2 linked regions of the Drosophila melanogaster genome follow. The protein of the gene in region 1 purifies or fractionates together with the protein of each later gene. This does not show direct contact. Each region holds a gene or a part of one and is shown in the gene's direction. Other genes may lie near its edges.

Region 1 (5,081 bases):
AAGTCAGCAAAGTGCAACGCGCAGGGAAAACAACCTGAAAGCAGAATGCACCGGAAAAAAAAACAACTACGCCATGAATATGTAATCAATCGAGGAAATGTGTGAAAAATATATATTGAATACACTTTAAATTTTAATTAAATGAAAAATGACTTAGAAGGAAGGACTTCTATGATAGTAATTCAATCAAGAAATACACAATACAGAAATAATAATTTTGAAAATTGCGCTATTGAATGTTTCTGTAATACATGCATAGAATACGTAATCAATAATTTCGAAACAAATTTAATGTTAATTAGGTTGTTTAGCCATTCAGTCATTATAATTTTATTTTAATGAGCTAATAATCGAATCAGAAACGACTGGACTTTTAGCTGCAGTTCAGAAATTCGTGAATATTGTATGCATGTACATATATTGTGAAAATGCAGCTGATATGTAATAATCATTGCTCATTCGCTTTTTCCCTCGGCGGAAGGAAGTTAATGGTGGCACAATTGGATCCGCAGGCGGGGTGACACACTGGCCGAGTTCAAATGACTCGAGTATCTCGAGATGGCGAAGTTGAAGCTGAAGTTGAGGGTGTGAGTGCAGGAAGCAGGATCTGCGGCTGCCATCTTAATTTGCATGCACTCGCTGGCGGTGCGTGTGTATGTAATTTATTTGTCGCGCGAGCGGAATTCCCTTGAACTTGTCCGCTGGCATCAGCATCACCATCACCATCAAAACCAGCAGTAAGGAGCGGCAGTAGGAGCGGCAGGCGGACTTGCAGCGTGCAACATGCAACATGAGCAGCAGTTAGCAGTCAGCAGTCCGTCTCGTGTGTCCTGCGTCCTGTGTCTGTGCCACATCGTGCGTCTGCCGACAACACGCAGGACTCTTCGTGCCGCCCGCTGCAATTGCAACGCTGCCTGCCCTATCGGCCACGACTGTCGCTCGGAGGCGCCACACGAGCTGAGGTAGCCCAATAGAGTCCACACCGGACACCGCCAGCGATGCCCCGCCCCTTCGATAACAAGTGGGCGAACCTATCAATTTGTAAATCTAAAATTATATAAAAGAAATAGGAAAAATTGTTTTCATTTATTAAATACTTACCCATAATAGATTATTTATCTTTATATTTAAGTAAATATTCAATAAATGAGTACCACATCCATATGTATGTACAAACATACAAAGCACACCGAAACCGTATGTATGTATTGTAGAATAAGAAATGAGATGCAATTGAAAGAAGAGAGAGATCAAAGTAAAAAATGTGTCTCAAATCGCTTTCGTTGACAGCAAGAATCAGTGGGCAAATCGAAGGAAACATGCAAAACTAACTGTTTGTGAATGAATTACTTTGGATAACGGAAGATAATACGCGAATGATGAATAAGAATTAGTGTAGCTGTGTTCATTGTATCCAAATAATATTCAAACAGAGCGGTGCATATATATTTCATACATACATACATATGTAAGTATTTACATATACATATATGCATATGTATTTTTCATTGATAAAGTGGGTGTGCTTGTTTTCAAAGAACCCCCCTTCAATTTTTTTTTTTTTTTTGTTAATTTCGAGTGCAAAACCACATTACACGTGTTTATTTATTTTGGGGTGGTTTAACCCCTGGCGACCCCTGGCCCGGCATTTATCGAACCTTTGCTCATCTCCCATGCGAATGCAGTCCACACTCGCGTTCCACAAGTGCCACTATGGCGCCTGCGCATCGCCCAAAAGCGCCGCACGAAGTGGATTTCAGTTAAGCGGAGCGGGAATCGGAAGTGGAGCAGCGGACACACGGCCTCACCCACACGCATCCTTCGTGTGCGCTTTGCCAAAGGTGGGCGCGCGCGCGTGTGTGTGTGTGTGTGTGGAACTCGTGGGCCGAGACACTGACGACGCGACACGAGGCGACACGAAGCTTTGGCCGAGTTTCGAGCCGCGAGTGCTCGGCGGTTCAGTTTCGTTTAGGTTATCGAACACAACGGTTTGTGCCGCGCGATTAAAGGCGGATATATTCACTGCATTTGACTCGACTCTCGATTCGATTCGTTTCGTCTCGTTTCGGATCGTCTTGCCACACAACTCGAACTCGAATGCGAAAGCGAATCCTCGACAACTGAATTCCATCCGACATCGAAACTGTTTATCTCGGGAAATTCAAACGCTGCAGGAAAGGCGGTGAAACGGTCGCGATCGCGATCATCAAATTGCAATTGTGGCTGGCCCGTCCTAAACCGCCTAACGTCCCACGTCCCACGCCCCCGCCCGCCCCACACGGAACGTTGTCCCCTCACCGCGCCGCCCAATACATTAACCCCCGTTAACCCCCGGGAAATTCAAAACGCGTCGCGTCGCGTCGGGAAACGCGTGCCGCCGCCAATTGCATCTGTTGTTTGTTGTTTTTTTCGGTTGAGTGTGTGAGAGTGTGCCATCTATATTGCATTGTTGTTGTTTCTCTTTTTGGGGTTTTCCTCAATTGACAAGAAAAACACGAAAACAAAGAAGGCGAGAGACGTACAAGTGAAACGTAAACAATGAAAAGTGAGACGACGGCTGGCGAAAAAGTGAAATCCAGTTGATTGCAGTTTGCAGTTGGCAGCAGCTGCAGAGCGAAAGCGAAAAGCTTAGCATACTTTTGGGCCTGCCCCAATAACTCAAGCCGTAAGTGTCCTGTGTGTGTGTGCACTGCTGATGTGTGTGTGTGTGTGCGTGTGCGGGTGGTGTGCGTTGGTATTGTCGTGTTTGTGTGTGCGGATGAGCCTTTTAAAGTCCCGAGGCTGTTGCTGCCCAATTGAAACGGAAATTCACTCAAAAAAGCGCCAAAAATGTGGCAAAAAGAAATTTACTACAATTACAACTAAAAACTTACTAAAAATCCTAACTTAACTAATTTCGTAATTTTTAAAGTCCGCTGGCTGAAGAAGCGGAAGCAGAGTATTAGAAGAATATTACTGTTAACTATACAACTTTCATGTGTTGAAAAGCCGCTGGCAAAACAGAACATCGTAGTCTTATAAAGAAATTTTTATTTAAGTGTTTTAACATATAAAATCTCTTCACCTTTAATTTTAATTTCTGGAGAATGTGCCTTATTTGTACGTAATTCTTGGACCATAAATATGCCTATATATTGGGCTACAAAGTTCGAAAACTTCTCAAGTCCTCAGAAGTGCAAGAAAAATGAAAAATTTAAAGAAAACGCCAGAAGTGGCAAAAAGTTTGATCTGCGATCTCCAACTTGTACTAATAAATATGCTTCCATATATTACATATATTTTTTTTTTTGGGCTGCCAATGTGGCAAACTTGTATCAAGAAATTTTCAGATCCTGAAAAGAAAAGGACGAAAAAAAGTCCACACCTGCGAGCAGAAAATTTCATGTTGCCGTCGCCAGCGAAGAAGGCAAAAATGTTTAAGGCGAATTGCGAACTTTTACTCAATTTATTCGAACTTTTCACGCCTGCCTACGGATTTGCTTTCATTTTTTTATGCCTACACATATTATATATATATATATATATATATTTTTTTTTGCTGCTTTTCTTCATTTTGGGTAGCAAAAATCGAATCAGCGAGGCAGGAGCAACAGCAGCGGGCCAAAATAAAAATATATATGTTTATAGATGTGTACAAAGAAAAATGCGATAATTTAATCTGGTTAAAGCTGCGAAGGCTATGGCCAAAGCTACATAGCTCGATTTTCCCAGGAGTAAAGCTGTTATGCAGCAGACTTTTGGTCGCGTCTAAGCAAATTAAAAACTTTTGCTCCCTACATTTCCCTTTGCTTTTTTTTTTTTTTTTGTGTCACGTCTTTTTGGGCCCGGTTTTTTTTCATTTTTTTTTTTAATTTATTTTGTATTCCAAGTCATGTATATTGTATATGCATAAATTGTGTTTATGCAAAAAGAAAAAAAATCCAGTCGGCAATAAAGTACGCGTTCAATTTTGCGCAATAAAACGGCAAATGCGAAACAAATGTGACGCAGCTGACGGATCCGAAAAAGATCTTTTTGGCTATTCGAAGGTTGCAAGATGTCAATTGAAGTGGGCTTTTCGCATGAAGTGCAAATGGCTTGGTGGGGCTCAATACAATCCATGTGAGTTGGGATGATATATATACATACGTATATACGTATGCGTGTATTTACTGACTGGGTCATAAAAAAGGTGGCATAAAGCAGCGCCTAGATGGAAATCGAGAGAGACAGGCGAGGCTTATAAATATGCGCGACTTTATGGCCTTTGGGAAGTGTTATGTGCGAATTTCCTTTCGCATTCGCATTCACATTTTCCTTTTTCCTGGTTTCTGGCCAAGCAGCGGCAGCAACACCTGCCCACTTTTCACTCGCAGGAAAAGCTGGAAAATCGGCAAAAGAAGCAGCTGGCATTGCTGATTAAAGTGCCAGTCGCACACGCACACACACTTAGAGTAAATATATATATATATATATATTGTACATATATATATTTATACATAAAGCAGGCACCACGCACCCAGCAAAAGTCAAAACTCAAACTCAAACTCAAAAGTTTTCTGTGTCGCGCGTAGTGAGCGGGCACGCCCACGTGCTCTCGAAAAGAAGGCGGCAGGCGCTAAGTAGCAGGTAAGTGCGGCAATAAAAATAAATGGCAATCGCGAGCCGCGCATCAACTTTTTCGCACATTTTATTGGATACGCCACGAAAATGTGCACATAGCGAAAACTAGATTGATTTCAGCAAGATTTCTATCTATATAACTTATGTCTAACTTATGTTGCTAAAACAAAAGTTAAGCTTATATAAAACATTACTTGAAAATGAATATTAGCGATGCTTAAGTTGGGCAAAAATCAGTTAAAAAGAAGTGGCAATTATTATGGCTTGTATATGCTTGCTAAATTGTATTGAAATATATATATATATTTTTTTTTACTGTGTGGGCATAAACAGGAAATCCTCAGTGCCATAGAGAGCTATAGAATGCGGAGTGTGCTAGAACTCCTAGAAAGGGAATAGTAAACAGAATTTTTAATAGAGGGTTTCGAAATTGCACATGTTAACTCTTAAAGTTCGAACTTCAATCGAGAAGCGCATGT
Region 2 (4,306 bases), on another chromosome or scaffold:
CATTTAGCGTTCGAATGACCAATAAACCCAATGAAATAAATCAAGTGCCATAAACCGACGGCGCCATATAAAAGCACCCACAATAGAGGCGTAAAATGGTGCGCTATATGTTCTGATTTAATATATTTCTATATCGCATTTGTTTACACTGCTAAACTATTGGGCGAATTTGATTTGAATAAAGTACAGACGGCGGGGACAAAGTCTCGACAGAATAAAAGCCTGGTAATTTTCACTCTTTGTTTTTTTTTTTTTATTTCTCGAAACTTGTATGCAAAGTAATTGCGGCAAATTGAATTCAACAAAGGGGGCACAGGCGAAAAAGTGAAAAAAAGACGCTAAACGAAGTCATGCCGTTTCAATTGAGATACAATACACAGCTACAATAGATACAGATACAGCTATGGCAAATGCCATGCAAAGAACAAAAGTCGTCTTGAGTCGAGTAATTTAAAAGCCATTGGCTCATAATAAGCCCAATGCAAACAGGCAGATCAATTGTGAATACATAAAGTGAAAAAAATTAGCCATCGATATTCAAATTGTTTGTTTGCCCAGGCGGCCAAAGCCGAGAAAATCCCAACGCAAACGAATGGAAAATTAATTTTTAACATTTCAACAAGCGTATAAATTTGTTTGCATACAAATTAATAAGGCTCTACCTGTCATAATCTTTTTGTTTTCGCCCGCTAAGCTGCAACTGGCAAATTGAACGACTGAGAAAGCAGGTTGAACGTGTTCTCAAAACCGCTGGCATGTTGGCTAAATAATTGGCTAAATATTTTACACATTTTTCCACTGGACATGTCACCGCTTCGCAGGCGAAAGTTCTGGTTTCGCTATATTTACGAATGTTTTTCGTGTAAAGGTGCCTACATTCTTGCCTGATTGCTTTAAAAATAAGACTAGGAATAAATGCAGACGACAAAGTAGTTAACGGAAGTTCGTTTGCTCTTATCAAACCGAAACTCAAATGCCCTCCACTGAATTGTTCGCCTGATAAATAATGAGTCATTCGGGCAATCATCAGCAAAACTACACAACGCAAGGCAGTGCCAACAAAATGCTAAATGGCTGTTGTGTAAATTATATAGAAGGTATTTTAAGCAACGTTTCCACGCGCCTATATTTTCGATGGTAAAAGCCAAAGATGGATGGGCCCCAATGAAAATACTCTTACATAAAAATGGGCGAATGTCTGGCCTCATGTCCACTATCAGCAGCCAAAAGAGATTTCCACCTTTTGTTCAGCAAATCGCTAAGTAAACACTTCATGATAAGAGAACACACTGGAAATGAGTGGGAATTGCTCCACAGATATTGTACAAAGTTTTGTTTTTTTTTTCAAAGTCTGTGAGTTTTGAATGGAGCCAACAGAGCGAGAACTTCCATAGAGCAGCAAAAAATCATGAATAATAAACGGAAAAGCAGCACAGACAAGTGTCAAAATAATGATAGGTACAAAAAAAAACAAACCGATTTTCATCTCTCTCGTACAGCAAAAGATGTTAATTTCTTTTAAAAGGAGTTCCCAGACAAATAATTGTAATTAAATCTATTAATTAGTCAGCAGTGATTTCCAAAGCATCTCAATTCTTCGAAATAGAAATAGTATTTCAATCCGATTTCAAAAAAAAGAAAAAAACCCTGCCTTACATTTTCGAAATGCGCTGTACCCGCCACAGATGAACCATATTTATTTTCGCAAAATCAGAACACCATGAATAGAATGGGATGGCAATTATATAGAACTGATGATCGTTATTTGAGCATTATAGAGGAGCTTATCTGGCCAGGCGTTTGGCGGTCAACGTTTGGAATCAGTTTCAGGTCGAACGTGAATCGTGGAGCACGCCAAATGTACGTCCGGAATTGTCTGCCGTTCCTCTGCAGCTATTTGCTGATCTCATTGGCGGCCACAGCTACTACGGATGAGGACGCGGATGCTGATGTGGATAGTGGCTCATCCCGAATAGTGCTGGTCTCCAGCTTGGAAGGTCATTGCCAGACGGAGGGCAAGGTGACCAGCTGCAGGGGCTTTGAGTTTGCGGGAGAGGACGAGAAGGCCACCTTTGATCTGCCAACGGAGGTGCGGATTGCCGAGGATGGCACCACCTACGAAGTGGGCGATGAGGAGCACTCGCGAACCCTGATCTTCGAGAACTGCACCTTCACCAATTTTCCCCTGCGCTTATTTTACACACTAGAGGTCAGTGAGCTGGACATGCGCGGCTGTGGCATCCGCTTCATTTACTGGGAGAACTTCTCCATTGGTGCGGATAAGCTGGTGATTCTTCTGCTCAGCGATAATCACATCGAAGTGCTGCCCACGAAAACCTTCAGGGGAGCAGGAAACTTGGAGTTTATCTTCCTGAATCGCAACAAACTAGGCAAACTGCAGGCGGGTGCGTTTGATAATCTCCTGAAATTACAGTACCTGGATCTCACAGAGAATCGCCTGGAGGCTTTAGCCGCGGACGTATTTGCCGGACTGAAGAGTCTGCGGCACGTGGGACTGGCCGGTAATCAACTGACCACCATTGAGAGCGATTTATTTGCCCACAATCCGGACCTTTTGTCGGTCGCAATGCAGAACAATCGACTGCGAGAGGTGGGCGAGTATGCCTTTCGATCCCGCGGACGACACCATCAGATGCAGTATGTGGATCTATCGAATAACCCCGAGCTGGTCGTTCTACTGCTGAACATTAACGCCACCAATTTGACCGCTCGCAATTGCTCGCTGGACCGTGTCAATTTGTACGGATCGGTGACGAATGTCGATCTGAGCGACAATCGCGTGCGCGAGCTGTACTTTCCCGCCTCCGAGGCACTGGAGCATTTGGTGCTGCGCAACAACTCGCTGGTTCAGCTGGCGTCGTTGAGCCGCGTGCCCAGACTCCGGCACCTGGATGTGGCGGACAATCCGAACCTGGGTCAGTTGCCCGACGGTTGGCGGACGCCACATCTGGAGATGCTGGTGCTGCGGAATACGGGCCAGATGGAACTGCCGCTGGAGGCGTTGCAGGGTATGCAAAATTTGCAGAAACTTGACATATCCGGCAATAATTTGACGGAAATCGATCCATCCGCGTTCCCCACGCTCACGCAACTAACGCACTTCTATATTCATGGAAATAACTGGAACTGCTTCAGCCTGAGAAACATAATGGATGTGCTCATTCGTGCCAATGGCATTGCCTATACCGTGGATAACTACGATCCCGATTTTCCGGGGGAATACTTTCACGGAATAGCCTGCATGTATCGCTTGCCCGAAAAAGAGGGTGTGGACTCCTCCTCCTCTTCGGAAATCTCCGCCAGCGTAGAGTCCTCGCCCATAACAAGTAGTTCTGATCCCAGCGAGGTGGACAAACTGCGCGATGAACTGAAAGCAGTGGTGCAGCACTTTGATTCCAAGTTCGATTTGATATTCAGTAAACTGGCCCAATTGAATGAACAAATTCAGGCCTTTGAAGTGCTCAACAAAACTGTTTGGAGTCAAGTGACCTTGTCCGTTTGAAGTTGTTAAATATGGCCCATTTTTTATGTGATCACTACATTTTCAAAGCTTTACAATTATATGTATACATTATAATTAATATTTGAAGTATTTCCTAAAGCTTCTTAATTTTAAACATAAAATCTTTCGATCCAATAAATAAATCATTTTTTAAATTGTTGGAAGAATTCCACTAAAGAATTCGCGTGTATGTTTTTTTTACCAGTTCTTGATAATATACAAAGTTGGAACCATAATCTAACAAAACAGGAAGGCTTTTCGTCTTTGTTTAAGATTTAGTTTCCTAGAATATCATTTTTTTCTACGCCTATTCAATTCCTAATCTCGAAAACAATTTCTGCTCCATTTCCCTGCTGATTTTGCATACTCAACCCCAAAAAACCAATACAATTTGCAACATGAGCACATCTAGTAAATATTTATTGCTCGCTGTGTCGTATACGTAGAATAATATTTAAACAATAATATTGATTTTCGAGCAAAGCAAAGTTGGGTTCTTTTTCTGAAAGATATTGAAAGAGGTTCGTTCAACTCGGGCTGGCGAACCAAAATGGAAAAACGAGAAGAAAACTGGAGGGCGAAGACAAGATGGTGGGGCTCGGGGAACTTGAGTTGAATTGAACAAAGTCAAGTCAATTACAAAACCAATATTTTCGGAAACTAAACAACAATATTGAATTCGATCGAATGGACCAGAAACCGAGTTATTTTATTGCCATCTGCTAATGCGAACAGTTTTAATTATTTATGCTTTATCCCTTCTATTCGCTTACTCGCACATTT

The links.
Region 2: the proteins of dpr8 (region 1) and cDIP purify together in Drosophila melanogaster (affinity purification with western blotting; 2 studies listed by BioGRID). This does not show direct contact.

The regions. Positions count from the first base shown.
Region 1 is NC_004354.4:14,320,251-14,325,331, forward strand, and holds the start of dpr8 (defective proboscis extension response 8), read left to right. Parts: upstream 1-1,975; 5' UTR 1,976-2,665; intron 2,666-4,487; 5' UTR 4,488-4,608; intron 4,609-5,081.
Region 2 is NT_033777.3:21,158,607-21,162,912, reverse strand, and holds cDIP (common Dpr-interacting protein), read left to right. Parts: upstream 1-1,820; 5' UTR 1,821-1,858; coding exon 1,859-3,523; 3' UTR 3,524-3,675; downstream 3,676-4,306.